4 linked regions of the Notamacropus eugenii genome follow. The protein of the gene in region 1 interacts with the protein of each later gene in a pairwise test. Links are inferred from orthologs where the notes say so. Each region holds a gene or a part of one and is shown on either strand. Other genes may lie near its edges. The genes, in order: PDLIM7, GEM, ZMYND11 and PHF1.

What was found.
Region 2: the proteins of PDLIM7 (region 1) and GEM interact in binary tests that used the Homo sapiens proteins (3 or more experiments, as listed by UniProt). The two-hybrid records come from large-scale screens. The link is inferred for Notamacropus eugenii from reciprocal best matches to the Homo sapiens genes PDLIM7 and GEM.
Region 3: the proteins of PDLIM7 (region 1) and ZMYND11 interact in a two-hybrid assay, tested with the Homo sapiens proteins (2 studies listed by BioGRID). The link is inferred for Notamacropus eugenii from reciprocal best matches to the Homo sapiens genes PDLIM7 and ZMYND11.
Region 4: the proteins of PDLIM7 (region 1) and PHF1 interact in binary tests that used the Homo sapiens proteins (3 or more experiments, as listed by UniProt). The two-hybrid records come from large-scale screens. The link is inferred for Notamacropus eugenii from reciprocal best matches to the Homo sapiens genes PDLIM7 and PHF1.

What each region holds. Positions count from the first base shown.
Region 1 is NC_092872.1:414,318,163-414,325,336, forward strand, and holds the start of PDLIM7 (PDZ and LIM domain protein 7), read left to right. Parts: upstream 1-4,162; 5' UTR 4,163-4,290; intron 4,291-4,867; 5' UTR 4,868-4,933; exon of another isoform or gene 4,934-4,990; intron 4,991-5,699; exon of another isoform or gene 5,700-5,895; intron 5,896-6,068; 5' UTR 6,069-6,087; coding exon 6,088-6,183; intron 6,184-7,174. UniProt on the Homo sapiens protein: May function as a scaffold on which the coordinated assembly of proteins can occur. May play a role as an adapter that, via its PDZ domain, localizes LIM-binding proteins to actin filaments of both skeletal muscle and nonmuscle tissues.
Region 2 is NC_092875.1:158,863,387-158,871,216, forward strand, and holds the start of GEM (GTP-binding protein GEM), read left to right. Parts: upstream 1-4,818; 5' UTR 4,819-5,463; exon of another isoform or gene 5,464-5,474; intron 5,475-7,064; 5' UTR 7,065-7,100; coding exon 7,101-7,163; intron 7,164-7,272; coding exon 7,273-7,612; intron 7,613-7,830. UniProt on the Homo sapiens protein: Could be a regulatory protein, possibly participating in receptor-mediated signal transduction at the plasma membrane. Has guanine nucleotide-binding activity but undetectable intrinsic GTPase activity.
Region 3 is NC_092874.1:84,121,828-84,129,036, reverse strand, and holds the start of ZMYND11 (zinc finger MYND domain-containing protein 11), read left to right. Parts: upstream 1-4,191; 5' UTR 4,192-4,329; intron 4,330-4,819; exon of another isoform or gene 4,820-4,978; intron 4,979-7,209. UniProt on the Homo sapiens protein: Chromatin reader that specifically recognizes and binds histone H3.3 trimethylated at 'Lys-36' (H3.3K36me3) and regulates RNA polymerase II elongation. Does not bind other histone H3 subtypes (H3.1 or H3.2).
Region 4 is NC_092873.1:89,405,623-89,412,856, forward strand, and holds the start of PHF1 (PHD finger protein 1), read left to right. Parts: upstream 1-4,234; 5' UTR 4,235-4,321; intron 4,322-4,696; exon of another isoform or gene 4,697-4,996; intron 4,997-5,105; exon of another isoform or gene 5,106-5,424; intron 5,425-5,827; 5' UTR 5,828-5,842; coding exon 5,843-6,001; intron 6,002-6,136; coding exon 6,137-6,218; intron 6,219-6,337; coding exon 6,338-6,433; intron 6,434-6,616; coding exon 6,617-6,720; intron 6,721-6,857; coding exon 6,858-7,006; intron 7,007-7,193; coding exon 7,194-7,234. Other genes in the region: kinesin-like protein KIFC1, read left to right, coding at 188-241, 485-541, 759-1,159, 1,605-2,372, 2,597-2,887, 2,982-3,055, 3,207-3,282, 3,527-3,571. UniProt on the Homo sapiens protein: Polycomb group (PcG) that specifically binds histone H3 trimethylated at 'Lys-36' (H3K36me3) and recruits the PRC2 complex. Involved in DNA damage response and is recruited at double-strand breaks (DSBs).

The sequences.
Region 1 (7,174 bases):
GGATAATTTAATTCGACAGGATTTATTTAGTGACTGTGACATTTATTTATAGAATGCATATAGAATGCAGGGCTCTATGTTAGGCAATGGGGACATAACGATGAAAATTCATGGGACTGTAATTTTAGAGCTGGTAGGGACTTTAGGGGTCACCTTGTCCATAATCAACCGCACTTTGTAGCTGAAGAACGTGAGCCTGAAAGTGCTGAAGTGATTTCACCCAAGGTCTCACAGTGAGCAAGTGGTACCAGAGCCAGGATTTGAACTCAGGTTTCTGACTCAGAATCTAGCATGCTCTTACATTACAACGTGGTGCCATAATTCCTGCCTTCAGAAGGAGTAGTATGTGTTTTGTGGTTATTGCTCCGTAGTGTCTGACTCTTTGTGATCCCATTTGGGGTTTTCTTGGCAAAGACACTGGAGTGGCTTGCCATTTCCTTCTCCAGCTCATTTTTTTTTTTTTTGTGGGGGGGGACAGTAGGAATCAAATGACTTGCCAAGGGTCACACAATTAGTGTCTGAGGCTAGATTTGAATTCAGGTCTTCTTGACTCCAGGCTGAGCACTCTATCTACTATGCCACCTAGCTGCCTCTAGTATATGTACCCAGATAAATATAATCCAAGATAGAATATGATAGGGGCAAAGAAAAAGGTCCAAATGCTCTAGGAAAATCTGAGAGGGTTCACTATCTGAGGGATGCATCAAAAAATGCTTTGGGGAGGAGGCTGACTGATACACAGATGCATTCTAGGCACAGGAGACAGCCAGGTGAACAGGCCTGAAGATGAAAGATGGTATTGTTGCTTGTGAGGAACAGAGAGAAGGCCATGGCCATTTTTGTACTTTGGAAGTTTTTCCATTTTCTCTATGTTGCTAGTACAGTCCCCTTGAAAAAGCTTACAACTGGGAACATGTACACTAAGGCTAGGAGAATCAGTGGTATCAGCAATCCCTAGAGGTCAGACAGGGACTGGGGGCAGTGGGAAAGACAGAAAGGCTTGCCCTGCTCCACCCTTACCATCAAATAAAGAGATCAGACCCTGCTGCTACCCACTGAACACCTTCACCCAGTCTCCCACCAATAACTAAAATCCAAGGGAGGTAGAGATGAGTTTGAAGGAGAGATCCAGGCAAATTGCTAGGAGAAATGTGAAAAGGGAGAGAGAGAGAAAGACAGAGAGAATCAGTTTTACCTGATGAGGGGGGGGTAAGGCATCAGGGAAGGAAGCCTTCATGGAAGTGGTGACACCTGAGTTGGCCCTTCAAAGAAGTGGAGTATTTCAACAGATATGTGGAGGTGGGGGTGTGGGATGGTTTTGAGTGAAGATCAACATCTTTGGTCAAACCCAATTCTAGCCCCTTCTGAGGGTGTTTTTGTTTTTTTTTAACTTTTTTCAAGGGGTCTCTACCCCTCTAGACAAGAGTAGAGAGGGGAGAGACTAGGGGATAGACCAGGGGTGGCCTTGAGGCCACATGTAGCTTGAATTCAATCAAAGGGTTACATTTGAGGGCCTAGAAGGCCACATGTAGCCTTGAGGCCAAAGGTTCCTCACCCCTGGATAGACCAATTAAAGTATCCATTGCAATAGTCCTGGCAAGAATGATCAGGCAAGGGTTGAACTATGACCCTATAAGTGAAAAGAAGGGGATGGATCCAAGGTACATTACAGAGGTAGAATCAACAAGATTTGGCAACTGGTCAGGGAGAGGGAAGGAAGAAGAGCCAAGAAGAACTCTGGTAGTATCACAGACAAAGTAGGGAAGGCTGGGGAAGGGGCAGTCTAGGCAGAAAGCAGCCCTGTGGGTAGAGGCCCCTTGGGAAAAAGTTAAAAAAACAAAAACATCCTCAGAAGGGGCTAGGATTGGGTTTGACTGAAGATGCTGATCTCAGAGCTAGAGGGACCACAGAGGGTCTCTAGTAATAAATTAAAAAAAAAAAAAGAAATAAAAATAAATAAAAAATAGAAGCTCCTCACAACCTGCCCTGCCCCCTTGCTTCTGACTGAAGACCTCCAGTGATGGAGAGCTCATTGCTTTCCTGCCTGGATTATTCTCTGTAGCTAGGTCTCCATCCAGGCAACTGCCTCAACTTGCTTTGCCTTGAATGAGTTTGGAGAAGTCCATAGATTCTCTAAGATCCCAGTCCTTTTTTTTGGGGGGGGGGGGAGAGGTCAGAAGGAGATAGAGCCCATGCTCCACTCTTCATTCCTAGTCTTCTGTCTTCTCCCCATTTTTATGTCTTCACTCAAAACCATCCCACACCCCCACCTCCACATATCTGTTGAAATACTCCACTTCTTTGAAGGGCCAACTCAGGTGTCACCACTTCCATGAAGGCTTCCTTCCCTGATGCCTTATCCCCTCATCAGGTAAAACTGATTCTCTCTGTCTTTCTCTCTCTCTCCCTTTTCACATTTCTCCTAGCAATTTGTCTGGATCTCTCCTTCAAACTCATCTCTACCTCCCTTGGATTTTAGTTATTGGTGGGAGACTGGGTGAAGGTGTTCAGCGGGTAGCAGCAGGGTCTGATCTCTTCGTTCCATTATAATCACCTTGAAGGTAGGACTGTCCTCAGCGTATAATCGGGTGTTTGATAAAGTTGGCTGAATCAAACTGAGCTGATTATAGGGATACAGTCAGCTAGACATAGATCTCTCAGTCAGCTTCGAGCAGCACTTAACAGAAGCAAGGGTTATTTTTTTTTCGGGGGGGGTGGGGGGCAGGTTACTTCCTTGAGGAGGGGTGGAGGATGAGGGAAAGTTTCTTGGAGGAGACATATAGTGTTTGTCTGGTAGGAAGGGAGCTGAGGGGGAGGGGACACTTGGGGGTGGTTTGTTGTGGCCAAAGCCTTTGGAGGGTGCCTGGAGATTGGTACCAGGGAACAGGGCAATGCAGTCAGTGAAAAGACTTCTAGATGTTATGTAACTACAAAAACCTGGAAACAACCAAAATGTCCAACAACCGAAGAATTCAAGAAATCATGGTATATTTGTAATGGAATTCTATGTCATAAGACCCACAAGTTAAGAACACAAAGAAATCTCTGGAAAGACCTTTAAGAAAAAACGGCAAAGTAGAGAAAGCAGAAGAATGGAATACTTACTTCTATGACCATATAAGACAAAAAGTGAATGAGAATGAATAGACAAAGAAGGAATTCTGAGGTGAACTGAGAGGGAGTGACCCAAAAATTCTTATGATTCTTCATTTTGAAATTGATTAAAATATTTTATTTATATCTTTTGTTTTTACATCACATTCCTCTCCAGACATATTCCTTCCTCCTTGTGCCCAGAGAAACATCCCTTGTAACAAAGGATTAAAAAAACCCAGAAGAGTAGTGAAGTCCAACTAATCAGTACATCGACAAAGCCTAACCATGTGTGCCACGTGCTGCACCTACAGGGTCCCCCACCCCCAGTAATTGATTTGAATGTAAACAGTTACTAAACAAGTTTCTGCGGTCATCTTGAGGGTCGATTTTAAGCTTTTTTAAAAAATTATTTTATTTTCAGCACTGCCTTCTCTCTCTCTCCCCTCCTCCTCCTCTTTTGGGAAAGCAAGAAAAACATTTTACAAATATGTAGAGTCAAGAAAAACAAATTCCCTCCCTGGCGACGTCAAAAACACAAGGGCTCAAGCTCCAAGTCTTGACGTTTTTACCCTGTCCCCCCTTTTAAGTCTAGGCAGGAAGTCGGGAGATCTGGGCTCTCATTAGGGTCTGCTCCCGGGAATCCTGGATAGAGCCTGAACTGGCAGAAGGCAGCTCTTGGTGCGGACGCTGCGTCCGAGCACTGCTCAGCTGGGTGACCGGACCAGTCCCTGAACCTGGCCGAGTCTCAGGTGCCCCGTGAAATAAAGGAGAGTGCGCTCGAGGACCTGCGGGAGCCAGGGCCAGCCCTGCCACCCCGCTGCAAAGAGAAGTCCACCCGAGCTGCTCGCTCTCGGGGCATGCAGGCCCAGGCGCGGAGCTCCCGGGGAGCGTCCACCTCGCCCTCGGGCATCCTCCGGGGCTCGGCCCGCAGGGGCGGGGAAGGTGGGAAGGGCGCGGTCGCTCCCGGACTCTTCGGGTCCCCCCCGGGCCGCCCGAGACAAAGCGGGAGAAGGGGCGGGGCTCGGACGGGGGCGGGGCATCGGGGGCGGGGCCTCCCAGACCCGCCCCCGGGAGCTCAAAGGCGGTGGCGGCGGCTCCGGGCGGAGCCAGAGCGCGCCGGGGCCGGCCCGAAGCGGCTCGAGTGCGCGCAGCCCGCGGTCCCCACGGCGCCCCCGACGCCCCGAGCGCTGCCAGGTAACCGGCGGTGGGCAGCGGGCGCGGGCTTTCCCGAGCGCGGAGCCACGCGGCTGCCGCTGCCGCCCCCGCCTCTGCCCCGGGGCTCCCGCTCCGGGCACCCCGCCCTGTCCGGCCCGGGGCTTCGGGCTCAGGCTGGGGCGAGAGCAGCCCCGTGTCAGGGCCCGGCCGGCGGCCCCGCCCCGGGAACTGGGAGGGAGGCAGGGAGGGAGTCGCCCCGAGCACCCCCCATCCCGGGGGCGGTGGGGGAGCTGCTGAGTCCGCTTCTCCCGGAGGGCGGGCGGGCCTGGAGACTCCGGGAACCACCGGACCCCTTCTCCTTTCCTCCCCGAGCTGCGGTGGGGGACTGATGGACAGCCCCAGTCTTCCTTCCCTCGGTGGGGGGATGGGTGGCTGACCCTCGGTCCCTCCCCGGGGAGGGGGCTGACATCGCTGGGGGGATTGGAGGCGCCGCCTGGAGCCGGTCCGTTTACCTTCTTGGGAGGCGAAGGCGCTGACTTAGCTTTCTCGGCTCTCCCCGATGGGGGAGGGGGTGCCGGGACGCACTTATCTGTCAGTTCTTCTCCTCTGCTACCAGCCTGCCTTGCTTGTCCTACCTCTCCCAGAGGCTCCGGAAGTCTCGTGAGGATGCTGACCTCCGGACGTGAGCTTCTGCCCTTTCTCTTCGGGGGATCGGAAGGCACCTCCAAGGCCATCTATGGTCCGACCCTCTCATTTTACAGATGAGGAAACTGAGCCTCAGGGGGGGGTTAGATGACTTGCCACAGGCTCAGACCCCTCCTGTCCTTTCTCAGGGAGAGGGAATATCTTTCATCTAATGTCTGGGAGACCTACCCTTAGGCAGTGGTACCCTTCCAGTCCACAAGACTGTTGGACAGTACATTTTAACAGGCTTCTGGGGAAACTGAGGCAGGAGGGCTAAGGGAACTTCTGGCCATATTATATATCTGGCCTGCCTTATATTGGCAGCAGCTTTCCTGGCCTAATAGTTACCTAGGTGTTAGTCCTTTCCTACCCTGAGAAGCAGGCCCTCAAATGTCAGGACCCCCACACACACCTCTAGCCTGGAAGGGTGTTGAGCACTAGGCTTGTTTGTCTTAGTTCTAGGCCACCCTTCCCCATGTTCCCTAGGGGCTCTTCAGAAAAAGAAGCAGGCCCTTTCCCTCCTCAGAGTCAACAACACATCTCCTAGGCCTGGTCTCCTTTCCTCTGAGATCAGCTGTCAGCTCAAAGGGTTCCCTCCTTCTCTTCCTGTCTTGGCTGGGGGAACAGCCAAGGCTGGGATGGGCTCCAGTCCCCTCCCCCACAATCTCTCTTCCCTTCAACCCCCCCCCCCCTCGTCCCTGAGCCCCCAACGTGCAGTATCGGCTTTCATGCCTTATATAGCCTGAGTGAGGCCTCTATGTTTCACTCTGGCCTGCCCCCACTCTGACCCTGCTCTCACCCAGAGGCTCAGGGGGTGGGGCTGGGTGGGGGTAGAGGAGAGTTTTTTGGGCTCTCCCCATCCCTGACTCTAGAAGACTACTTCCCATTGGATTCTCAGGGGACCCTTAAGCAGAACCCCTTACTTAGTGGGGGATGTTGTCAGGGGAGAAAACAATCCAGGTTAGAGATGAACTTTCTCAGGGCCTGAGCAGTTCCTTCTCTTTCCCTTAAGCAGGTCGAAGTCCTCGACTCGATGTCTGTCCATCTGGCATCTGGCCCGATGTCTGTATGTCCACTGTCAGGAACCAGTCAGCCTGCGTGCCTCAGCTGAATCTTTTCTATTTTTCCTTCAGGAACAAATCAGCTGGCACCATGAATCCATACAAGGTGACGCTGGATGGGCCAGCTCCATGGGGTTTCCGGTTACAAGGGGGCAAGGACTTCAACGTGCCCCTCTCCATCTCTCGGGTGAGACAAGAACTTACCTCCTCGTTGAATGAGGGTGGGGCAGTAGGTATTAATGTGTTCTTTCTGGGAGTTGGCATAGGAAGCAAAAAGAATGGGGCCATTGATGGTTGTTCTAGTGGGCAGGAGGATGATGATTCCAGGTCATACAAGAGTGCAGACAGGGTTTGGGACTTTGCACTTGGGACTGGGTTTGAATCTTGGCCCTACTACTACCTACATCAGTGACCTTGGGCAAGTCATTTAACCTCTGACTCTATAAAATGGGGGATAACATGACCTATCTAAAAGGGTATCATGAGGAAATAGTTTTCTTAGTGCACTGGTTGGTTTTTGGAGTCAAAAGGCCTAAACTGGAATTCAGCTCTGCTACTTATTCTGTGTGTGTGACCTAGGGCATATCAAGTTCTAGACTTGTAGCATTTTTTGTAAATTTTATAGTGCTTTAACTATGGAAAGTATCATTTGTTGAATTTTGTTTGGGCAGATGGGCTCTGCTGAGTACTAAGGGTGAGATGGAAATGGATAAAATTTGGTCAGTGGCACACAGTGGGTCTGGAGTCAGGAAGAGTTCAAATCTCTCCTCAGACACTTGGTAGCTGTGTGACCCTGGGTAAGGTACTTTGCTTGCCTCGGTTTCTTCAACTGTAAAATGGAGATAATATCGCAGCCTACCATGTAGGGTTGTGAGGATCACTTGAGATATTTGTAAAGCACTTAGCATAGTACCTGGCACACAGTAGGTGCTGTATAAATACTCATTCCTTTCCCCTTCCCTTTGTTCTGCCCCTCAAAAGCTTGCATGACACATCTGCAAATCCATAGATTATTCAAGCTAGAAGGGGACGTTAGAGATCATCTGATGTAACACCCTCATTTTCTCTGTGAAGAAAAGGGAGCCCATCGAGGGGATGTGACACAGCCAGAGTCACACATTTGTCAGTGACATCACTGAGCCTCTGTTTCAGGTCTCCCAATTCCCAGCCTTCCCTTC
Region 2 (7,830 bases), on another chromosome or scaffold:
ACTGTCGAGTACTGTTCTTGCCACTAGGAAATAAGAAATACAAGTAAAGGGGTATAGAAAGTTATTTGGCCCTACAGGACAAAAGAGAAGATGGGGACAAGGGCAGAGAGGGATGATAGAAGAGAGGGCAGATTGGTGATAGGGGCAATTAGAATGTTCGGTGTTTTGGGGTGGGGGAGGGGAAAAATGGGGAGAAAATTTGGAACCCAAAATTTTGTGAAAATGAATGTTAAAAGTTAAATAAATAAATTTAAAAAAATAAAAATAAAATAAAATAAAATCTAGCCTCACACACTTACTAGCTGTGTGGCTCTGGGCACATCACTTAACTCTGTTTGCCTCAGCTTCTTCATCCATCAAATGAACTGGAGAACCAAATGGCAAACCATTCCTATATCTTTGCCAAGAAAACCCCAAATGGGGTCACAAAGAGTCAGACACAACTAAAACAACTCAACAACAACAAATGAGTACACTATTATGTACCCACAGGAGTTACAAAGACAAAAAAAAATTGTCCTTGCCCTCAGGGATCTTCTTTTCCACTGGGAGAAGGGATATGACTGGGATATAGAAAAATAACTACCAGGAACAGCTAGGTGGCATAATGGATGGAGTTGAGGCCCTGGAGTCAGGAGGTCCTGAGTTCAAATCCAGCCTCACATACTTACTAATATGATTCTGGACAAGACATTTAATTCTAGTTGCTGGTCCTTCTCCCCCCCCAAAAGGTATGCAAATATATGCATTAATTTCTTTGCAGGGTAGAAGTACAGTAATAATAAGGGGGATCAGAAAAGACCTCATAAAGCACCAGAGATGAACCTGAAGGGAGTGAGGGATTCCGAGAGGGAGAACATCGTAGGCATGAAAAACAACCTACATAAAGGTATGGAGCTAGAAAATGGAATGTTTCATATGGGGAACAGCAATTAGGCTGTTTTTGTTTAGTTTTTTTAGAATATCAACTATGTGAAGGCAACTCATATGAAATGTCTGTAATGATAAACAGGAGCCAAACTGAAAGGCTTTCAGAAATTTCCATTTTGTCCTTGAGAGGAGAGGATAATGCTGTGAATCATAAGGGCTGGGTGGGTCCCTGGGCTGTGTATTGGAAGTGTTGCTCAAAAAGAAACTGAGCAGGGGCTCTTGATTCTTTATGGGCTTAGATAGGAGTCCTTTCTTTTCCCCTCACTGTCTAAATAAAATTTCCTGAAGTTTTGTGAGCCAAAATGCTAGTGAGGGAATTGGTGAGGTGCCAGCAATGTGAACCCTCAAGTTCCATGTGGGTCAGAGCAGTGAGGAAGATACGTGAGTGGCCCCCAAAGAGTAGCCGGATCATTGGCATCAAGACAGAGCCTTTGAGGGGAGGGTTACAGAGGGAAGCACAGGTTTACTCTGCTTCCTGTCTTCCCTCCCTTCCTTTCTCCACCTCCATTACTATACAGGGGGAATTTTCTGTTAGAATGTTATGGAGCCATCAGGATGGAGGCTGTGTCTAGAATTGTGCCTTAAAGCATTGTAGATGCTCAATAAAAATATGTCAAATTGGATTGAATTGAAACTCCACAAATAAGAATTCTTTATGAGATGAATGGGGCTTTTCCCTCTCTTTTTAGTGAATAAACCTGTGAAGATGGTGAAGCTAGTTCACAAGCGAAATTTAAAAACCCCCCACAAAGAACAACCCTTAACAAGTATATATTTCTGTGTTCTCTGCTCCTGGCAGAAGAGTGTGTGTGTGGATTGTGGTATGGGGGCATGGTGAGGTAAGTGTGGATGGGGAATTGGTCTTAATGAAGAAGGGACTTATGAAGGGATACTTGCTTTGCACAGAAAGTTGGAGTAGATGACCATTAATGTCTTCTTCCAACTTTATGATTTCATCATAGAAGATGGTTTTCTTATCGACTTATATATGCAAATTAGCTTTTCTTTTACCCCCTTTATTTATTTATTTGTTTTTGTTTTTGTTGTTGTTGTTGCTGTTGTTGTGTTCGTCCTTTGTTGCCAAAGACCATGCCATCAGAGAAATGATGACATGACTTGCACTTGACTTTGTTTTGAGTGAGGGAGGGCTGTGCAGGTCACCAGCCTCACTTCTCCCCCAGAGCCAGATATTCATCAGGATGACTGGAGAGAAAAACTTTTGAGTTTCAAATCTCTTCCTCCCTTTTTCCCCTTTCCCACCCAATGAAAAGGCAAGCAATATGATATCAATTTTACACATGAAGTCAGGCAAAACATATTTACATGTTAGTTATCCCCCCCCAAAAAAATAAAAGGCAAGAAAAATAAAGAAAGTGAAAAAAGTACCCTTCACTCTGCACTCAGAATTTATCAGTTCTCTCTCTGGAGGTGAATAGTATTTTTAATCATGGACTCTCTGGAATTGTCTTGGTTCCATTGTCTCAATCAGAGTAGCTAAGTCTTTTACAGGTAATAATCATGACAATATTGCTGTTACTATGAGCAATGTTCTCCTGGTCCTGCTTCACTTTGTATCAGTTCCCCAGATTCTTCTGAAACCATCTCTCTTCATTTCTGATAACACTTAAATTAATTCAGGCTGCTTATTGGAAGGACAAATGCTAAAACTGAAGCTTAAATACTTTGGTGACATAATGAGGAGACAGGACTAATTGGAAAAGACCGTGGTTTTGGAAAAGATTGAAGGAAGAAGTAAAAGGGGACAACAGAGGATGAGATGGAGAGATAGTATCAATGAACATGAGCTTGGACAGACTTTGGGAGATATTGGAGGATAGAAGGATCTGGTGTGCTATGGTCCATAGGGTCAGAAGAAGTCAGACACAACTGAACATCACAATCATTTATCATGATTTGTTCAGTCATTCCCCAGCTGGTGGGTAGCCCCTCTATTTCTAATTCTTTGCCCTCACAAAAAGAATCATTATAAATATTTTTTGGTCCACATAGGTCCCTTCACTTTTTCTTTGTTCTCTTTGGGGTACAGACCTAGTATTTATCTGGAGATGTCCACATCAGAACAATTGGAAGTCTGGAGTGAGAGAAAGAAGCCTAGAAGAATGTTTTCCATGTCCATGGGTTAGAACTGGTAGCTGCAGAGTTGTTATCTGTAATCAGTTATTGTCTTTTAGTGACTGCAAACTCAATATGAGTCAAGAGTGTGACATGGCAGCCAAAAAAATAAATGTGATTTTCAGCTGCCTTAACAGAAGCATAGTGTGCAGAATGAAGGATGGGATAGTTCTGCTGTTGTACTCTGCCTTAATCAGACACCATCTGGAATATTGTGTCCTGTTATGGCATGCCACGTTTTAGGAAGGACACTGATAGTCTGGTTGCATGTCTAGAGAATGGCAAGTAGAAAGTGAGGGGAACTGGAGACCATGCCATAAAAATGTTAGTTGAAGGAAATGGAAAATATTTTCTAAGATTCTTGAGAGTTAGATATTGTTTCATATTTGCTCTTGTATCCCCAGCCCCAAGCATGGTGTCTGATGCAGAGTAGATGCTTAATAAATGCTTGTTGATTGATCTGGAGAAGTCTTTGTGGAGGGAGCTTGAGAGATATCTTAAAATTATCTGGAGGAATAGCATATGGAAAAGGGATTAGATTTATTTTGTTCAGTCCCAGAGCCACGACTCGTAGCACTGGGTGAAAAATGAAGAAAAGCAAGTTTATGCTCCATGTAAGGAAGGACTCCCCTCAATCAGAACTATTCAGAAGTGGACCAAGCTGCCTTAGAAGGTGGTGAGGTTCTCATTGATGGAGACCTTTCAGTGGAAGCTGTGTGATCACTTGCCAGGGAAGTGGTTCAGCAGATTGCTGCTCAAGCAGGGTTCTATTAGATACCTCCTTGAAGTCCTTTCCAAATTCTGACATTCTGTGACTTTTGGGACTTTTGGGACTGTTGGAATAGAATCTGTGGTCTATAATAGATGTGTATGACTGGTTGGATAGAAGAAAAGATGTATTTGAATGGTGTTTCAATAACTCTTCTCTCTTCAGCAACTAGTCATTCAGGATAATCCACAGTGCAGATAAATCACCCACAGATAACCAAAAAAATTGACTGTAGTTTCCTTTAAATTGGAGGAACATTTGAACTTGGCTACTGAGATAGCTGCAGTGCCTTTTGGCTCCTTCTACAACTCATTGGCCAAGCCAGGAGCAAAGTTAGCTAGAGGAAAAGAATGATACATTGAAAATGTCCTGAGTCATCTCCCAATAGGGCATCTGGGGAAATTCAGGTGTCCTCTAAGAAGGGATAATTTAGGTGCATTTGCCTGTAGATTAGGACTGACATCACATGCACACTATTCAAAGGAATCCCTTAGGTGCCTTGGGTTGAAGGAGAAGTCATTCCTGCCCCTGGCTAATGGCTTTGGCCTCACGCCTGAAGTACTGATTGATGTGTCTAGGGATTATTGCAGAGACGATGATGATGACTGAGGTTCTGATCAAATGCCCTGACGCTATAATGCCCTGCAACTGATTTCGGGGGTTTGTCATCTAGTAAGGTGGGCAGAGGCAAGTAGGGAGGGTCAGGGGAATTTACCACAATCTGTTTGGATATCTCATTGTTTCCTTCCCTAAACCGTCCTCTTTGAAGCTCTCTGTGTCTCCCCTTCTCCCCCTTTTCCTCATTTTCCGCAGAAAGAGCAGAGAATCATGAATAGCTCCCCGGCTGTCCCCACTCTTTTTTTCTTGGGCCGAAGAGGGGGTAAAACGAGACACGAGGCTGTTACTTCCATCAGAAGATGCGGCTAAAATAAATGTTTCCCTTCTCTTTCCCCCTCATCCCCCTCTTCCTCCCACCCTTTCTCCAGGTGGCTGCAGATTCATGATTCGGAGGCTGGATGTTCCAGCACCTAGGGCTGATCGATGCTGTCGTGACAAAGCAGAATGAATGGAGCCCCAGCTCCACTTTGCAAATCAGCCCCGAGCCTTTGTGTATCCTTCATCTGGGCAGCTCTCGAGTACATTGCCGGGAAAGACGATTAAGTGACACTTGGAGTATTTTTCCATTTTCTTGTTTTCACCTTGTAAAAAAAAAAAAGTCACAGGATCTGCTTCCCTGGCACTCTGGAAAAGCGGGTGGAGGTTTGGAGAGGGAGGGGGGAAGAAAAATCATATGACTGCAAGTAACTGATTTTGTGTTCGTTGGGAGCGTCTGCAACTTTGGGCTTCTCTGCATACCCGTTTCCTCCCAGCGGGGGGCCGCCTGCTCTGTGGCCAGGGCAGTGACGTCACGGAAAAGCCCTGCCTGATCAGATGTGCTTAATATAAACCTGGGGGAGCCGAGCAACGGCTGGAGAGAGTCAGCCAGTGGGAAGGAGAGGAGTTTACTCCAGCAGAGCGGCGCACCAGCCTGCGCTCACTTGCTTGCTCGTTCGTTCGCTCGCTCCAGCGTGAAGAAGAGATTCCCCAGGATCCCGCGGCTGTCTTGACTGGAAGGGACTGTGAAAAGTCAGGTAGCGTGTGTGTAAGTGTGTATGTATGAACACTCTTGGGAGGCTAAGCTGGAACGTGGGGATCTATCGGAGGCCAGAGCCCCCTCTGCAGTGAAGGGGTGCGGATGGATGGGACGAGGATGCATGGGATACGCGGCTCGGGGAGTAGTAAATGCGGCTTCCTCTGCCAACCTGAACTTTTTAAGTAGTGAAAAGTGATCTTAGAGTCTATGATCCAGGCTCGAAATGTTCAAAAAAAGAGAAAAGAACTTAAGATGAGGATAATGACAATTCTTTTTTTGGACAGAGGGGAATGATACTATTAATTTGTACCAATTTTCAAGGCAGATGGGCAGACGGATGGTGATGATGTCTTGTGTTTCTCCCCCTCCCAGCAAAAACAAAGCAAAACCAAACAAAACCCTGCCACTTTGGCTTACTGTTCTTATATGTCTTTGATCAGCTTGTCTGGAGACTGATAACGCCTGTAGTGACTTCTTGGTCAATGTATTTCTTGCTACCGAGAATGAATTTTGCGGAGGAAAAAATGTAAATGCTCCACTCTAGGTACTATCTGAGTTCACAAAACTCCAGGAAAGAGGAAGGGAGCTACAATACAGTAGCCTAGAAGCTGTAGTGGACTTGTTAGAGTGCTGATCATTCTACAAATTTTATAGTTAAGGAGGGATTTTAGAGCTCAGGCAATCCAACCCCCCTTGTTACAGATGAGGAAATTCAGACGAGAGCAGAGAAATGACTTCCTCCAAGGTCGCACAGCTTGGAAGTGTGAGAAGAGAGATTTGAAGTCATTCAAGTCAAATACCATCCATTACTTCCTCATGTCTTTCTGATGCCCAATGGGCCATTTTTTTTTCACTATCTGTTTTCTATGATTGAGGCTTCCAGAAGATTAAAAAACTTCGTTTAATTAATGAGAAATCTCAACAGGACTTAGTGAAAAGCCATGTGCATGGGCATGTTTGATAGTTTTGGAAGCAACTGAATGCACATTTAATGCCAGAATAGTGATCATCAGGGTGGTGTATTTTTTTTAAAGGCATGCCAGTGAGCAGACAGCAATGTTGAGGCATAAACCTCAGAGAGAAACATTAAAATAATAGCCTCAGCAGCTGGAGAGCATCAAAGCAATGTGACTAAACATGGTAGTTCCAATGTATATACTGCTCAAGCAGAAGGGCAATGATGTCATTGCCGTAGGTTTCCAACCAAGGCAAAGCAGGCTGATGGATAGGTCAGTGCAATTAAGTGCAGAATGAGCTGGAAAGATAACTTGGTCCCTGGTCTGCTGCTCCTCAGAATCCCTCACTTGTGGATTTAAAGGGAGTAGGATTTTTTTTTTTTAGTGTGTTTGTGACTTTGACATCCTTAGGATCAACTCATTATTAGCCCTCAGGAGCTAAGAAGCAGCTTAATATGGTAGAGAGAGCACTGGGTTTGGTGCCAGAGGTTCTGAAAATCACTTGACTTCTCTGTGCCTTAGTTTCTTCTTCTGTAAAACCAGTGACTTAGAATACATGACTTTCTAATTCTAAAAGTATGACCTATCTGGGGAGTACTCATCCCTCTATGATCCATCCGTGGTGCCTTTTCCCTTCCCTTAGAAATGACACCTAGAGCTGTTTCACTGCCTGAAATAGATGAGAAATCCTACTCCTAGGAGTATGACTGAGCAATTCAGACTTGGACCACTCAGAGCTCAGGTTTGTTTCATTGGTACCTTGTTTCTTGGGGATTTGTAGTTCTCATTTCATGAAAAAAAAATGGATGAAACTCCAACTACATAATCCTGGTGTTCTGTTTGCTCCCCAGGAACCAACAATGACTCTGAACAATGTCACCATGCGCCGAAGCAGTACGGCCCTGCAGGCACAGCAGCAGCGCTGGAGCATCCCTGCCGATGGGAGGCACCTGATGGTCCAGAAAGACCCCCACTCATACAACAACCGCAACCGATACTCCATGAACCCAGAAGACTATTACCGGCGAAGTTGGTCATCTGACTCCACAGATTCAGTCATTTCCTCTGAGTCTGGAAATACATACTATCGAGTGGTGCTGATTGGGGAACATGGTGTGGGCAAGTCTACCCTGGCCAACATCTTTGCAGGTGTGACTGACAGCATGGACAGTGACTGTGAGGTATTGGGAGGTAGGTAGTTAAGTGTTGAACTGTCTCTAGTCAACAGGCCCACATCAGCATTAAAGCAGAGCATAATAGCTGGGCTACTTATCAGTAGGGTTTAGAACTGAGATAATTCTTCTTGCCACTAACTGGTATGTAAAAGTCACAAGTCTCTGGTTCAAGCCCTGTGGACCAGAAAGAGTAAAATAACCATTGACAAAGATCAAAATCTTCTGAATCTTGGC
Region 3 (7,209 bases), on another chromosome or scaffold:
GGAATCTTTACAGGTTCTGGCACCATATCCTGGGCAACTAGCACTTCCAAACTATCAAGGGCATAGCTGATAATTTTGTCAGAGGAAGAGATTTTACTCTATCTAAGCAAGAACAATCTAGCCTTAAATTCCATTGCTTCAGAAGAGGCTGGTGCTCACATCAGCATATGGACTATGTCCCTTTTCTCAGGAAGGATCCAAGGAGTCTGTGGAAGCATTCACATTCCACTTATTTGCTATCCATAGACATCTAGCCAGCTGTAGCATATTTATCAATAAACCCCACTGGGGTATATATACATATATACATTCACACAAATATACATATATACACATACGCATGTGTGTACATATATGTACGTGTGGGTATACACAGGTATCAAACTAGTATATTGGGTTTTGCTCTCACCTTTTATTGGCATGCCAAAACCATTCATCAGCTCTCTAGAGAATATTTGCTGCTACAAGTTAGGGAATGGGCAGAAGAGATCTGTCTCCTCTCTAACTCATTGAATGAGTCCCATAAAGCTGACAGGCTAAAAGACACAACAATTGCCACCAGAAGCAAAAATAAAGTAGGGAGGTGGGGAATCAAGAACTCAGATAGGAAAGAACTCTGTTCCTTGAGCCACTAAAAATAGAGTAAAAAGATAATAGTTTAAACTAGGACTGAAAGTAAGCAATGTTAGATGGAAAGGACAGCATTTGACACTAGAATGGGAGAGTGTAAGTATACAGAATGCATGGAAAGCCTTGCTTAAAACTAGGCTCAGTAATGTGAGTCTACACCTGTGATTTATGTCAACTATATTACAATCTGTCCTCCAGTTCTATCACAGTATAATAAAATTTAGTCAAGGACTTGAAATTATCTGTGCATATTGCACTACACACAAGGTGATGTTAGAAAGAACAGTGTTTGAAATCAGGACACCTGGGTCAGAGTTTGGACTTTTGCCTGTGTGGTGATGCACAAGACTCCACAATTCTGTTCTTCAGTTTTCTCATCTGGAAAATGGAGATAATAACACACCACAGCACCAGTAGTAGTGCTGTCATGAGAAAAGCATTTTTGAAAAGTCCTATAAAACTCTAAGTTAGTATTGCTTTTAGAGAAGAAAAGGAGAGTCTAGGATTCAGTGTGGTGTTACATCTCACAGCACTTTGTACTTCCCTTATCTATTTGAGTTTGAATTATGGTTATTTCTGTGCATGTCATATCCTCTTCTAGCCTGCTTGAGAGCAGGGTACCCTCTTCTATCTTTGCAGTTCTATCAGGTCCTGTCACTGTGCTTTGTGTATTGAAGGTACTTATCTAAAATGTTTGTTGAATGGAGAAGACTGTCTTTTTTTTTTTTAACTGTTGCCAGTGGCATCATCCAAGAGTTAACTCCAAAAATACCCCAGAGATAGCACATGGAGTTCATTCACAGTCTTACTACACTGGGTTCCAATTTAAGATTTCTAGATGAGAATACATCATATGTTGACTGGCAATTTGGAATACTGAAAATTCAATCTATTCAGCATTAGAATATTTCAGCATTAGAAAAGATCCAGCAAGTGGGTCTAGGCTACTGTCTTAACCTTTTTCTCCCCCAAAGTTGTGAACCTGGTCTCTCAACCATTTTTCCCCAGTAGGAATATATCATTTATGTAATAATCAAATTGTATAATGTCTTTAAATTGCTTTGCTAATCTTAAAATGGATAGCTAGTTGGAACAGTGGAGAGAGTTGGGGGCTGGAATCAGAAAGACTCATCTCCCTGAGTTCAAATCTAGCCTCAGACATTTGCTAGCTGTGTGACCCTTGGGTCATTTATCCCTATTTGCCTCAGTTTCCTCATCCGCAAAATGAACTGGAGAAGGAAATGGCAAGCCACTCTAGTATCTTTGCCAAGAAAACCCCAAATGGGATCATGAAGAGTCAAACATGACTGAAATGACTGAACATCAATCTTAAAATACTATATAAAAGTTCATTATTATTGAAATTTACAAGGATATTGTATATATTAACTTTTTGAACTTTGAATTTATTTCCTATAAAATGAGAAATGTCATAATTTGTATATGTACATATGGATACATGTATATCATAATTTTTGTAATAAAAACGGAGCTGGTTTGTGGACTACAGTTTTTAAGGTGAATTCTGGAAAGCCTAAGGATGGCCTTTAGATTAAACCAGAAGCGGCTTATGCAGTAATACAGGGTTTGAGGTATATGTGTGTGAGGTGGGTGGTCACAAGGATTGGGATAGTCATAGGGGCTGATTCCATTGATAGAGGGCTTTCTGAAATAAAGAAACCTCATCAACCAACGCAGTTCAGACCTTGGGTGTAATTTGCAGAGTTGTGCCTAGAGCACTGAGAGATTAAAGTGACTTGCCCAGGTTCACTCACAGTACCAGTCAGTGGTAGAACATGAACACAGGTCTTCCTGGTTCCAAAGTCATCTCTATCTATCTATCATCTATCTATCTATCTATCCGTCTATTTGTCTATCTGTCTCTCTCTCTGTCTGTCTGTCTAGCTATCATTTCCTACTGCCAGGAAGCAAACTTTTTTGGAGGGCGGGGGAGTGAAAAGAGGTAATTACCTAGTCCTTCAGATAGCTGTATTTTCTGTTAACTATTTCTGAGAGTAGAAAACACAGTGGACTAGATGTCATGAGATGTGACTTCTAATTTCAGCTTGAGTGTACTAAATTAACTGTGAACTCATTTCACCCTTTGGGTGTTTTTCTTTAAGGTCCCTTCCAAATTTAATATTCTCTGATTCATTGATTCCTAAGTACCCTTTGTGCCTTTCAAACTTCATCTCTATTTTTTCTACCTCTGTCCTTCAATCATCCTCTTTCCAAAGTGGAGGTAGACAGGGTTGGGTGCTGCTTTCTTCCCCCAAACCCCAGACTGAGGAGAGATTAGCTGCTGGTGAGTGTAGTGGGTCAAAAAACATCATACTCTGAAGGGAAAATTATCAGGTTAATTTCAGGGGAAAAGTCACAGAACAGTGATATATAGTGAAAATACACACAAATGAATTAGTCGGTGATGAGAAAAGCAACAGATAAAAATTGAAGTAATTTGCAAGACATAATTGGATTGAAACTTGAATTTATGTGACAGTTTTTCTTATACCTTTTTTTAACACAAACACAATGTAGCTTATCTGTGTGTCTATGTATACACTAAAATGAAATAATGTAACTATTTTTGAAATACTTGGGGCCAACTATTTCCACCATTTCATAGACTGAGAATTTGAATTGCATACAAGTTGATTTATTTACTTTCATTAGCCAGTAGTGGAATTAATTTCTCCTGTTCCTTTTGATACTGCTACACCTTTTCTTCACACCTTTTCTTTGTCTTAATTTTTCTGATAACTCCTCAATACCATCTCCAAAAGTGTAGGGTGGCATGTTCTTCAAATTAATTTTGTTTCCAGAATTTTGGGATGTCTCATGAGATAGCCAGAAACCTCCAGCGGTATAAGTAAATCAAGGTTGGGAATCACTTAATAGGCCAGGCTATGGTAATATTTGTTCCATCCCTGAAGCAGACCACCTAGTAAGGCAGGGTGGACAGACAAGCACGTCTATACACTTCTGTTCTTCCAAGTTCCAACCCAATCTTTAAAGCTTGGCGGAAGGATGATGAGTTGGCTTAAAAATGATGCCTCTCCCTGACCAACTGCCTTCCAGTCACAGTATCAGATTTAATAACCAGGTAAGAGACGGAAAAAAAAAGGTTTTTGGTCACAGGGCCCTAAACGACAGGCATTCAGGAAGGAGTCCAAGATGTACAAAGCCAAGCTCACCTGCTCCCTTACCTTCCTGAACTGAACATCAAGATTTCTCGTGGCCTAATTTACACCTGGCGATTGTAAAGAACAATCTCCTCCTCTAATCCTTGTTTGTGCCGGCCTTGCTAACATGAGATGTACCAGCAGATCTTTCCGCATCCGAGCCTGGGACTAGGGGACCTTCCACTTCTCGGGCTACACCTCCTACATCGGGTCCTGAACCTCTCCCCCAGAGTCGGGTGATTTAAAGACGAATGCCTGCGAGGGGCTGGGAGAGACCTCCCACGGGCACACAAACACGAACACCACGGACACACACACGGCAGCGTAATCCCGTTGAACCCCGGCCCGGCCAGAACCACGCACACCCGCCACCTCTCTGACCGCGGCCACGACGAACAATGAGAAAGCCAGCTCCCGGTCCCTGTCCGCCTAGGGTCGCTCTCCGTTACTACCCGAGTGTGCACGAGAGGTTCTTCGCACGTGCCACAGAATCCACCCGAGAGGAGGCACTCCAGAAGTGAGGAGGGGGGGTGGGGCGGGAGCTCGGGGAGCCTGGGTGTAAATGCAGATTTATTTTCATCGTATAAATACACGTAAAAAAAAATCCGTGCTCGGGGAAGGAAGCAGGTCCGGAGGCAGCCGCTAGAGTTCCCCTTCTCCCCACGCGGCGGCTGCGCCTTCTCGCCCCCTCGGAAACCAACCCTGTTTACCCCGAGAAACCTGACCTGTGGACACGGGGGGAGGGGGATCAGACACAATAAAACTCCAGGGGGGGGCGAGGGAGAGGGAGAGCGAGGGAGGGAGCGGGGAGGAGGGAGGGAAGGAAGGAGGGGGAGGGGAGGAAAACACACGCACACGCAGACACACACACACGCACGCACACAAAACCAACATGTGAAGGGGGAGGCAGCAGCGGCCTGGGGACGGGATTGAAAAGTTTCCCCCGGCAGCCAGGCAGGCCGGCGGGCGCGCCTCCCAACTTCTCGCCCCCCCTCCCCCGGCCCCCTCCCTCCTTCCCTCCCTCCTCGCTCCCCGCGCCCTCCGCGCTCGCTCGCTCCCTCCCTCCCCTCCCTCGGCTCGGGAGCCAGCCCGCCGCCCTCCCGCCCGCCCGCCCGCGCGCCGCCGCCGCCGCCGCCGCAGCACCAGGTGAGGAGCGGAGCGACGCTGTAAGTGGGGAAGAGGCGGGCGGACCGAGGGGGAGGCTGGGGCTGGGGCGGCCGGGCCGAGGGGGCCCCGCCGGGCGGACTCTGCCCCCGCCGCCCCGGGGCGGCCCCCGCGCGCGCCCTCCCCGCCGCCCCTGCCTTCTCGTCCTCCATTGTCGCGGCTGCTCTCCCGCCCCCCCGCCTCGGGTCTCTCGCCTTCTCTCTCCCGGGGCGGGTGGTGTGATGGAGGATTATCAACATGGCGCCTTCCAAACTCCCGAGCCCCGGGCCCGCGGGCCCCGCCGGGAGGGCGAGGGAGGGGAGGGCGGCGGCCGCGGGGGTCTGACCCCCCCCGCGGGCAGGCCGCCCCCCGCTCCTTCCCGCCCTTCCCTGTCGTGCTGTCCCCGGAGCTGGGAAGAGGGGGAAGGAAGGAAGGAGGGCGATGGGCGGGAGTGAGTGTGTGTGAGTGTGTGTGTGTGCGTGTGAGTGTGCGTGTGCGCGCGCGCTGGGGGGGCCCTGAAGGAGCCCGAGGCGGCAGTGGTGACGGCTGGGAGGAGCAGCCCCGGGGGGCGGGGGTCCCCGCCTTGTTGTGGCCCTGACCCCGCGCCCAGCCCCGCCATCTGCCCTCCTCCCGCTCGCTCCCTGGGGCCCCCGCCGAAGTTGGCCGCTGGAGCCGCGCGGGGCAGCGCGGGGGGGGCGCTCCCCGGCCCGGGGAGGGGGCGGCGCATCCTCGTGTCGGGGCTTCTGGACCGGTGTCTTTTTTTATTTTTTGGAGGGGTGAGAGGAGTGACCCCCCCCCCCCGCATACCCTCCCCTTCTCCCCCGTGGCTTTCAAAGAACGGTGGGAAAAGCTTCCCTTGCAAGAACCGCGCCGAGGCCTGGTCGGCAGCGGGAAAGCCGGGGCGTCGCGTGGAGGCCGAGGGCCGGCCGCGCTCCGTCCGGTAGCCCGGACCCTGCCCCGGGAGCCCCCCTCCACCCTCCGGGAACATGGATCTGTATGTGTGGGGGAAGGGGAGGGGAGGAGGGCGGCCGCCGGGGCCGGCCGGCGCGGCTCGTTGTCGGGCAAGGCACGGCAGCTGCCGCCGCGGGGCCCCGAAGGACGTGGGCACGAGCGGGGCTTCCTGCCGCGGGGCCTGGCGGCGCCCTCCTCGCCCTGCTCCTTCAACAGGTCCCCGCTTTGCTCACGCCTTTAAAGGCAGATAATAAAAGTTCCCCGCGTTCCCTCACCCACCTGGTGACAAGCAAGTGTACTTCCACCCCTTGGGGAGCGTTTAAGGAAAACGATGTTTGTGTTTTTGAGAGAGAAGCCCCTCGTCCCTGTCTGGACTTGCCAGGGTTCTGATGGAGTTAAAAGGAAGGAGGACAGTCTTTGGAAGAAAAGCTGCGTGGTCAGTTGGCTCTGGCTGCCCCTGACCTCTTGGAGGAGGTCCTTCCCCCCCACCCCGGGCTTCCGAAGCCTTTTAAGTTGTGTGTACTTTGATTGTTTGACCTGAGTTTTGTCCTTTAGACCGAATCTCTGGCTACTAAGGATCTGTGTGACGCCAGAAGTATTTTACAAGAACTTTGGGTCAGTGGTGAAAGCCCATCGTGAAAATATGAAACTGGTCATTTGTAAGATGGTGTTACATTCCCATGAAGGAAAATTATGAAGCAGGTGGAATTAGAGAAAAAGGCGATATTGGTTTACACTTTTAGAGGACTTGGAGTTTTCAGTCTCTCTGGCATTTAAAAGGAGGGATCTGGCACTACATCACTTTAATAAACGATTTTATTATTATCTTTTTGTCCTAAAATTAGTTTTTGAAGAAAAAAACTTTTAATAGTTCTCCCCTTCCATATAAAATGAGTTTTGTGAGTTTTAATTCAGACTTTGTTAAAAGGCATCAAACAAACTTTACCAGACTTGGGGGAGGTAAGATCATTTAGGGGGAGCAGTCTTGGGATACAATTACATTTACTTGCAAGATGTTGGGGAAGTAGCTCTTGGTTTTGAAAGTTGTGTCTTTCCTAGACAAGGATCCATTTGTAGTTTTGATTTCAGAATAAAAACCACTGAAACATACCAGCTGAGTTACTAACATATCCAAGACCCTTTGCAGGAGTATTCTGCTTAATGTTAACTGACCAGTTTTGGTAGAGTGGTCTGCTGCTTGGCTTACAATCATTGTGTTAACTCTTTTTTTTTTTTTTTATGATAGCCTAAATTAGGAATTCAAAGGTCAGAAAAGATAATGTAGCTAAGTTCTTAGTAATTT
Region 4 (7,234 bases), on another chromosome or scaffold:
TAATTACATGACCAGAGTAATTCTGTCTTAGGTTATACGTGCAATAGGAGATGAACATGTCTGAGAGGAACGGGTATATTATCTCTTCAGAATAAGAGGTCAGCCCTAGGCTGGCTCTTATATTCTTTCCTGCATAGAAACTGCCCTGAGGATGCTCCCTATCACCTTCTTCCTTATCTCCTCGCAGCCCAGAAGGCTCCCCTAAAAACAGGACCTTGGCATACTACAACGGCCACCACAGGTGAGTAGGCATCAGTAGCTAGATCTCAGGGAAACAAGCACAAGTTGGAAAGGGAAGAATGATGGAGGGATTTGGCTGCCTGTGAATCTGAGCTTGATCTCAGCTCTGCAGCTTATGTCTTAGGTGAACTTTGGCAAGGTAAACCTCTGGACCATAGTTTGCTCTGTAAAATGAAAGAGTCGGTCACTATCAGCTCCAAATTAATTGATGTTATTGAAATTATTATCTCTTATCTTTGTACAGATGTGAAGAATAGGAAGCCAGTCTCTGCAGTCTCTACTGTCTCTGCACCAAAACCTGGTAAGTGGCTAATCTAATCCCTCAGGTTAGGCAATGTACCACTTACAGAGGGAATAGCAGTTGTACTGAGTGCTCTACAAAAACCATTAGCCCATTTCTGTCTCCCCTGTGAGATAAAAAGGAGGGAATGGGAGTTAATGGTGTTTGTTGCTCACTGAAAGGAGAAGAGAAAGGAGCTAGAGTTTTCATTCGCCTTGCTACTCTTTCCCATACCTAGTATCAAGAATGTCCCCTACAAAAACAAGGAAAGGATCTAGCAAGCGTCCAGCCTGGGATGTGAAGGGACAACTGTGTGACTTACGGAAGGAGTTCAGTGCCTGCCAGGTACAGACTGAGGTTCTAACCAGGGAGAACCAGGAACTCAGGAGCCAGTTTGGGCAAGCTGATCAACAAGCCAAAACTCTGGAGGCTGAGAACAAGGTGTTGATTGGGGATCTGACGGAGACTCGGGCCCAAGCTAAGCAAGACCAGCTGGAGCTGGGGAAGTTGAGGGCTCAGGTCCAGGAGCTGGAAGCACTTCTGCATACTCAGAAGGGCCTAGTTCAGTCATTGCAAGAAGAGCGGTTACAGTTGCAAGAAGAACGAAGGGATCTGGCTGCTCGGCTAGAGGTACAGGAGGTGAGTAACGCTTGGGTGGACAAAGCATCGTCCTGTGTGCGTTCACATGGAATTCTTGCTGAGCCTCCGCTGGGGGATGTTTGACCTTCTCCCTTTTACTTGTGTCTTGGAGTGTGTCCTCCCTTCTCAGAGTTTTCATCTGAGCTGAAGGCCCCTTCCCTCACTTTTGAGCTGTGTCTTTCAAGGAATTTCCCTTGCCTCATGCAGTTTCTTGTAGCTTGATTTTGATTTCGTTTTCTCTCCTCTTTCTTGCCATCTGTAATATTCTCCTTGTTCCCTTTCTTCCATTCTATCTATATATCCTTTCCTGTTGTGCCTTACCCCATCTTCATTCTTCCTTCTCATCTCACCAGTTACTCTGTTCCCTCTCACAGTGTCCACTCTTAATACTTCCCTCCATACTTTCTAACCCCTCTTTCTCTCTTACCTCTCTGACCTATGCCAGGCACAACTCCAAGAATCAATGGCAGCTCTGGCCAAAAGTCAGGCAGATTTCACAGCCCAGGCAGACTTGTTGGCCACAAGGACAGAGCATCTGCATGGTCTTGAGATGGAGCGGCGGTATCTGCACAACCAGCTGCAAGAGCTCAAGGGTAACATTCGGGTTTTTTGTCGAGTCCGCCCTGCTCTACCTGGAGAGCCCACACCACCTCCTGGCCTCATCCTTTTTCCTCCTGGGTCTAATGGAGCCTCTGAGCCTTCCACTCGACTCAGTCTTACTCGGCCAAGTGATGATCGATGTAGCATCATAGGAGGGTTACCAAGTGCTCCTGCCCGCTATGACTTCTCCTTTGACCGAGTGTTCCTACCAGGGAGCAAACAGAATGAAGTGTTTGAAGAAGTCTCCCTGCTTGTGCAGTCAGCCCTGGATGGTTACCCTGTGTGCATCTTTGCCTATGGCCAGACAGGCAGTGGCAAGACATTCACGATGGAAGGAGGGCCAGGAGGAGACCCGCAAGTTGAGGGGCTGATCCCAAGAGCTGTAAGGCATCTGTTTTCAGTAGCCCGGAAGCTGGAGGCCCAAGGCTGGAGCTACACCTTTGTGGCTAGCTATGTGGAGATCTACAATGAAACCATCAGGGACCTGTTGGCCTGTGTGGGTGGGGCCCAAAAGTGCCAGGGGACTGAGTATGAGATTCGACTGGCTGGCCCTGGAAGTAAGGAGCTTATTGTCACCAATGCCCAATATGTCCCCGTTTCCTGCGAAGAGGAGGTAGGGAATGAGGTAGACAGAGAGGGGATAAGATCAAGGGACAGGAGAGGAGACTGGGAAGTGGGGGGGTTATAGGAAAGATTTGGGGCTGTGGGAAGTTGTCAGATTAGGTGCAAGGTATTGGGAGTGGGGGAATGTTCTACAAAAACCAAGAGTTGGGGAAAGAATATATGTGTGCTCACTGAGAAGATATTGACAATGGCAGTCTCGCTCTCCCAATTCAGGTGGAATCCCTGCTCCATCTGGCTCGTCAGAATCGGGCAGTGGCTCGAACAGCACAAAACGAGCAGTCATCGCGAAGCCACAGTGTGTTCCAGCTGCAGATTTCAGGGAAGCACATGGGGCAGAACTTACACTGTACAGCCTCTCTCAACCTAATAGATCTGGCTGGGAGTGAAAGACTAGATCCTGGCTTGTCCACTGGCCCTGGAGATCGAGAACGACTGAAGGAGACCCAAGCCATCAACAGCAGCCTCTCTACACTGGGCCTTGTCATCATGGCCCTGAGCAATAAGGTAGGAGCAAGGGAGATTGCAGCCGAGCCGTTTGTTCTGAGATATTAAAATGCTGCCTTGTCCCGTTGTAACCTCCATCTCCCCCACAACCCAGGAGTCGCATGTGCCATACCGGAACAGCAAACTCACGTACCTGCTGCAGAATTCTCTAAGGGGCAGTGCCAAAATGTGAGTAGTAAGAATAGGAACTGATAGACTAGCTTGTTAAGGATGGAAGAAACTTGCAGACTGGCTCTAAGCAACACTAACAGGTGTGAACCAGGGCCGGAGGAATGTCTTGAGAATGTTGCCTTTGTGCTAAACCCCTTCTCCCACCCAGGCTTATGTTTGTGAATATCTCCCCATTGGAAGAAAACTTCTCAGAGTCCCTCAACTCCCTGCGATTTGCCTCCAAGGTACAGACATCTCCCATGGGTCCTTTGTTTTTCACTTCTGTCCTGTCAGTCCCTGGCTCTTTGAGGGTGTGCCCCTCCCCCTTTGCTGTTTGCCAGTTAGGCTCACTATAGCTCTCCTCTTTCCCCGGGCTAGAGTGTCTGGATACCTGCTTCCAGATTTCCTTAGGAGGTCTGGAAGGGTTGTATCCATCCCAAAGGAATTGTTCTGGTGCTGACACAGGCATCTCTTCTTTTCCTCTCCCAGGTAAACCAGTGTGTTATTGGCACTGCTCGAGCCAACAAGAAATAGAAGGGCCATCTTTGGTGTCCTGCGTGTATGTGGTTTTTATGTATGTTTAAGGGGATATTTTTAATTAGAGTGGTAACTGAGTTTATATAACTAGGTGAATATAACCATGTATCACAAAATAAAATTATCTTAGCACATGTTCTCGGTGATTTTATGTGTTGGTTACTTTTGCTGAATTGCCCTCCCCTTGTTCTTTAAGAACTGATGCCCAAGAAGGGATGTATTTGGAAATGCAGGCAAAGGGCCCTTAAGAAATGGCTTTCTTCGACCACTTTCCCGGGAAGTTTCTTTCTGGAAAGCTGGGGTAAGGGGCCGAGCGATTTGGCCAGGGATCTCCTGGTGCCGCCCTTGGCACCGTCCCCGTCTGTCCGTCACTCGGAAGGTCCGCGGCGCGCTCGGGGCTGGCAGCTCCGGCCTGGGCCGCGGCGGGCCGGGCTGACCGCTCGGACGATGCATGACTCAACGCCCGCTCCCGCTGGAGCGCCCCATTCAAACGGCCCGGGCCCCGCCCCGTTTCCTTTCCATTGGCTCTGCCTGCGTTAACGCCCCCGGCCCCGGCAATTGTCCGACCGCTCCCCTCCGGCCCTCCTCCTTCCTTACTGCCCCGCGCCTCCCGCCCTCCTGCGCCTGGGGAAGCAGAGCGAGGGAACGCTGCGCCAGCCCCGACGGCCCCGCCCGGCGGGGAGAGGGGGGCGCTCCAGCTCCGCAGGTGCCGCGCGCCAGCGCGGAGCGGAAAGCTGGGGGAGGGAGGTGGGTCCGCGCATGCGCCTTGGCGGGGGAGGCTGGGTGGGCAAAACCGGGGGGAAGGGGGCGGGGCCGGTGGGCAATTAGAGGGAGGGGGGTAGGGGCCGCGGGGGGGCCAAAGGTGCGGGAATGGGCTGGTGGGGGCGGCTCCCGGGCAGTTTCGGATTGTGGCGCGAGGCGCGGAGGCCGCGGCGGGGGCGGGGCCGGGGCGGGAGCCGAGCAGGGATTCCCTGCCGCCGGGGGCGGGCCGGGGCCACTCGGAGGGATTCCCCGTCGGCCTCGGCGCCTGGGTCCTGGGAGGAGGGCGTGCACCCGGCCCCACCCCACCCCGCGTGGCCCGCCCGGGAGGCGTAGGGGGTGGGGTGAGGTGGTTCCCGCCCCCCTCCCCCCAGCTCCTCCCTCCCTCCCAGGCCTCCCCCCCCCAGTCAGTCCGTCCCTCCCCTCCCTCCCTCCCTCCTCCTCTCCCTCCTCCTGCTGCTGCCGCCGCCGCCGCCGCCGCCGCCGCCGCTGCTTTGGCTGCTGCGTCATACGCCCCAGAGCAGCCGGGACCGAGGGGCCGGGCCCGGGGACCCCCCCAGCCTCTGTCTGCCCCCTCCCCCGGACGCCTGGACATCTCGACCCCCGCCCCGGCCCCCCCACGGCTCCCCCTCCCCAGCTCCCCGGCGGCCGCAGCTGTCACCGGTAAGGAGGAGGCGGAGAGGGCGGGGGGCCGAAGGAGTACTGGGAGGGGGGGGGGCCAGGCGGGGGAGCCCCCCTCCCCCGGGAGAGGCGTTGGCGCTAGGTGGGGGAGGGGTCCTTCTCTGGCTCCCCTCCACCCTCTCGTCTCCCCCCACCCAGCCTTTCCAATCACATGCATGCAGAGACCCCCTTTTGCAAGGGGGCTGCCTCACGTCACCTCCAGGTTTGCCCCATCTCGGGGAGTAGAGATTGGGACCGGGACACGCCCCCCTCCCTAGCTACACGGGAAGTTATCCGCCCCACCCCCACACCCCTGGGTTAGAGAACCTCAGATTGGAGTGGGACTCAAGATAATCCAGGAATAGGAAGATTCTTCAGCATGGATCGGAGGGAATCTCATTACTGAGGACCCCCTTCCCCCCGAAAAGCAGGTTGTCTGAACTCTGACATCTCTGGACAGGGAAATTCCAAGATGAAGCCAGCCAGGATGTAGGGGTGGGACTAGGACCTAAGGGGAGGCCTCTTTCTCCAATCCATCATCCTCTTAAAATCCTTGAACCAAGAGAGAAACTCCCTGAGAGAACCAATCCCTGGAGGAATCTTGGGGGTGGGAGACTAAGAATCAGGTGTCTGTGCTCCCTCTCCCTCGAATCTTAGAAACCCCCTCAGTGCGGGTCTGAAAGAGAAGACTATGGGCTTTTGTGATATCGAACTGGGGAAGCAAGGAGAAAGCTGGAATCTTGAATATTTTGAGTCCCCTTGGGGGAGCCAAGCAGGAAGAGGTGATTGCTGTTGGGGGTGGGGAAGGTAACTCTTCCCCCCTTGTCCTACCAGGCTCCCCAGGATGCAATGGCGCAGCCCTCCCGGCTGAGCCGCTCTGCTGCCCCCCAACCCTGGGAGCCCACTCCCCCAGCCCCTTCCCCAGGTACCAGACCCCGGCTTTGGGAGGGACAAGATGTTCTGGCCAGATGGACTGATGGACTCCTTTACCTGGGAACTATCAAGAAGGTGAGATCTAAACCTCTGACCTCAACCTCAACCCCACTTTTCTCCTGAAACATTAACTTTAGTATTCCCTTTCCATCCTCTTGACTCAAATCAAATGTCCCTTTCTCAGCATTCACCTCCTTTTCTCTCTCCCAGGTGGATAGTGCTCGGGAGGTCTGTCTAGTACAGTTTGAAGATGACTCCCAGTTTCTTGTTCTATGGAAAGACATTAGCCCTGGTGAGATGCAAGGGAGCTTGGTCCCTAAAAAGAAGCAGGGACTGGGGGACAGAAGCTTGGCTCTTAAGAATAATGGGGCTAGAGCCTTACAGTCCTTATCTCTCTTTTCTGTTTCATAGCTGCCCTCCCTGGAGAAGAGCTCCTGTGCTGCGTCTGTCGATCTGAGTCTGTGGTCCCTGGGAACCGGCTGGTCAGCTGTGAGAAATGTCGACATGGTAAGGAATGACATTTGACCTCTCCCAGCCTATTGGGGAACCACACCTTCACAGTCTATGATTTCTTTTCCATAATTTCCCTTCTTTACCCTTTTCTTGTTATAATCCTGAACCTCTTCCCCCTAGTCATTCTTCCCAATACTTTACCCTCAACCCTCCATGATCCTTCTTCTCACCCCCCAGCATATCACCAGGATTGCCACATTCCAAGAGCCCCAGCCCCTGGAGAAGGAGATGGCCCATCCCCTTGGGTCTGCAGGCAGTGTGTCTTTGCCATCGCTACCAAGGTACCGAAATCACTCCTCCCCATGGTAGATACCACTCACCTCTCTCTATACACTGACCTTCCACCCTACCCCCAAGCTGTCACTTAACTTTTCTCTTTCTTCACCACCAAACTATCTCAATGTGTTTGTCCCTGCAGAGGGGAGGTGCCCTGAAGAAAGGTCCTTACGCACGGGCAATGCTGGGGATGAAGCTGTCTTTGCCATATGGACTGAAGGGCCTGGACTGGGATGCAGGACACCTGAGCAACCGACAGCAGAGTTACTGTTACTGCGGGGGCCCTGGGGAGTGAGTCACAGAAAGAAGGGAAGGAATGGGGAGGCTTTCTGAAGGGGGGGGTGATGCCAGTGAGTCAAGGTAGGTGCTAGGGAGAGATTTGGGGGAAGGGAACCCAGTTGTAGTAATGAAAGTGATGGCAGATGATAGGGTTGTGGAGGCAGAACAACTGCAGGCCTCACCTGGTACTCTCTCTCAGGTGGAACCTAAAGATGCTACAATGTCGGAGTTGCCTCCAGT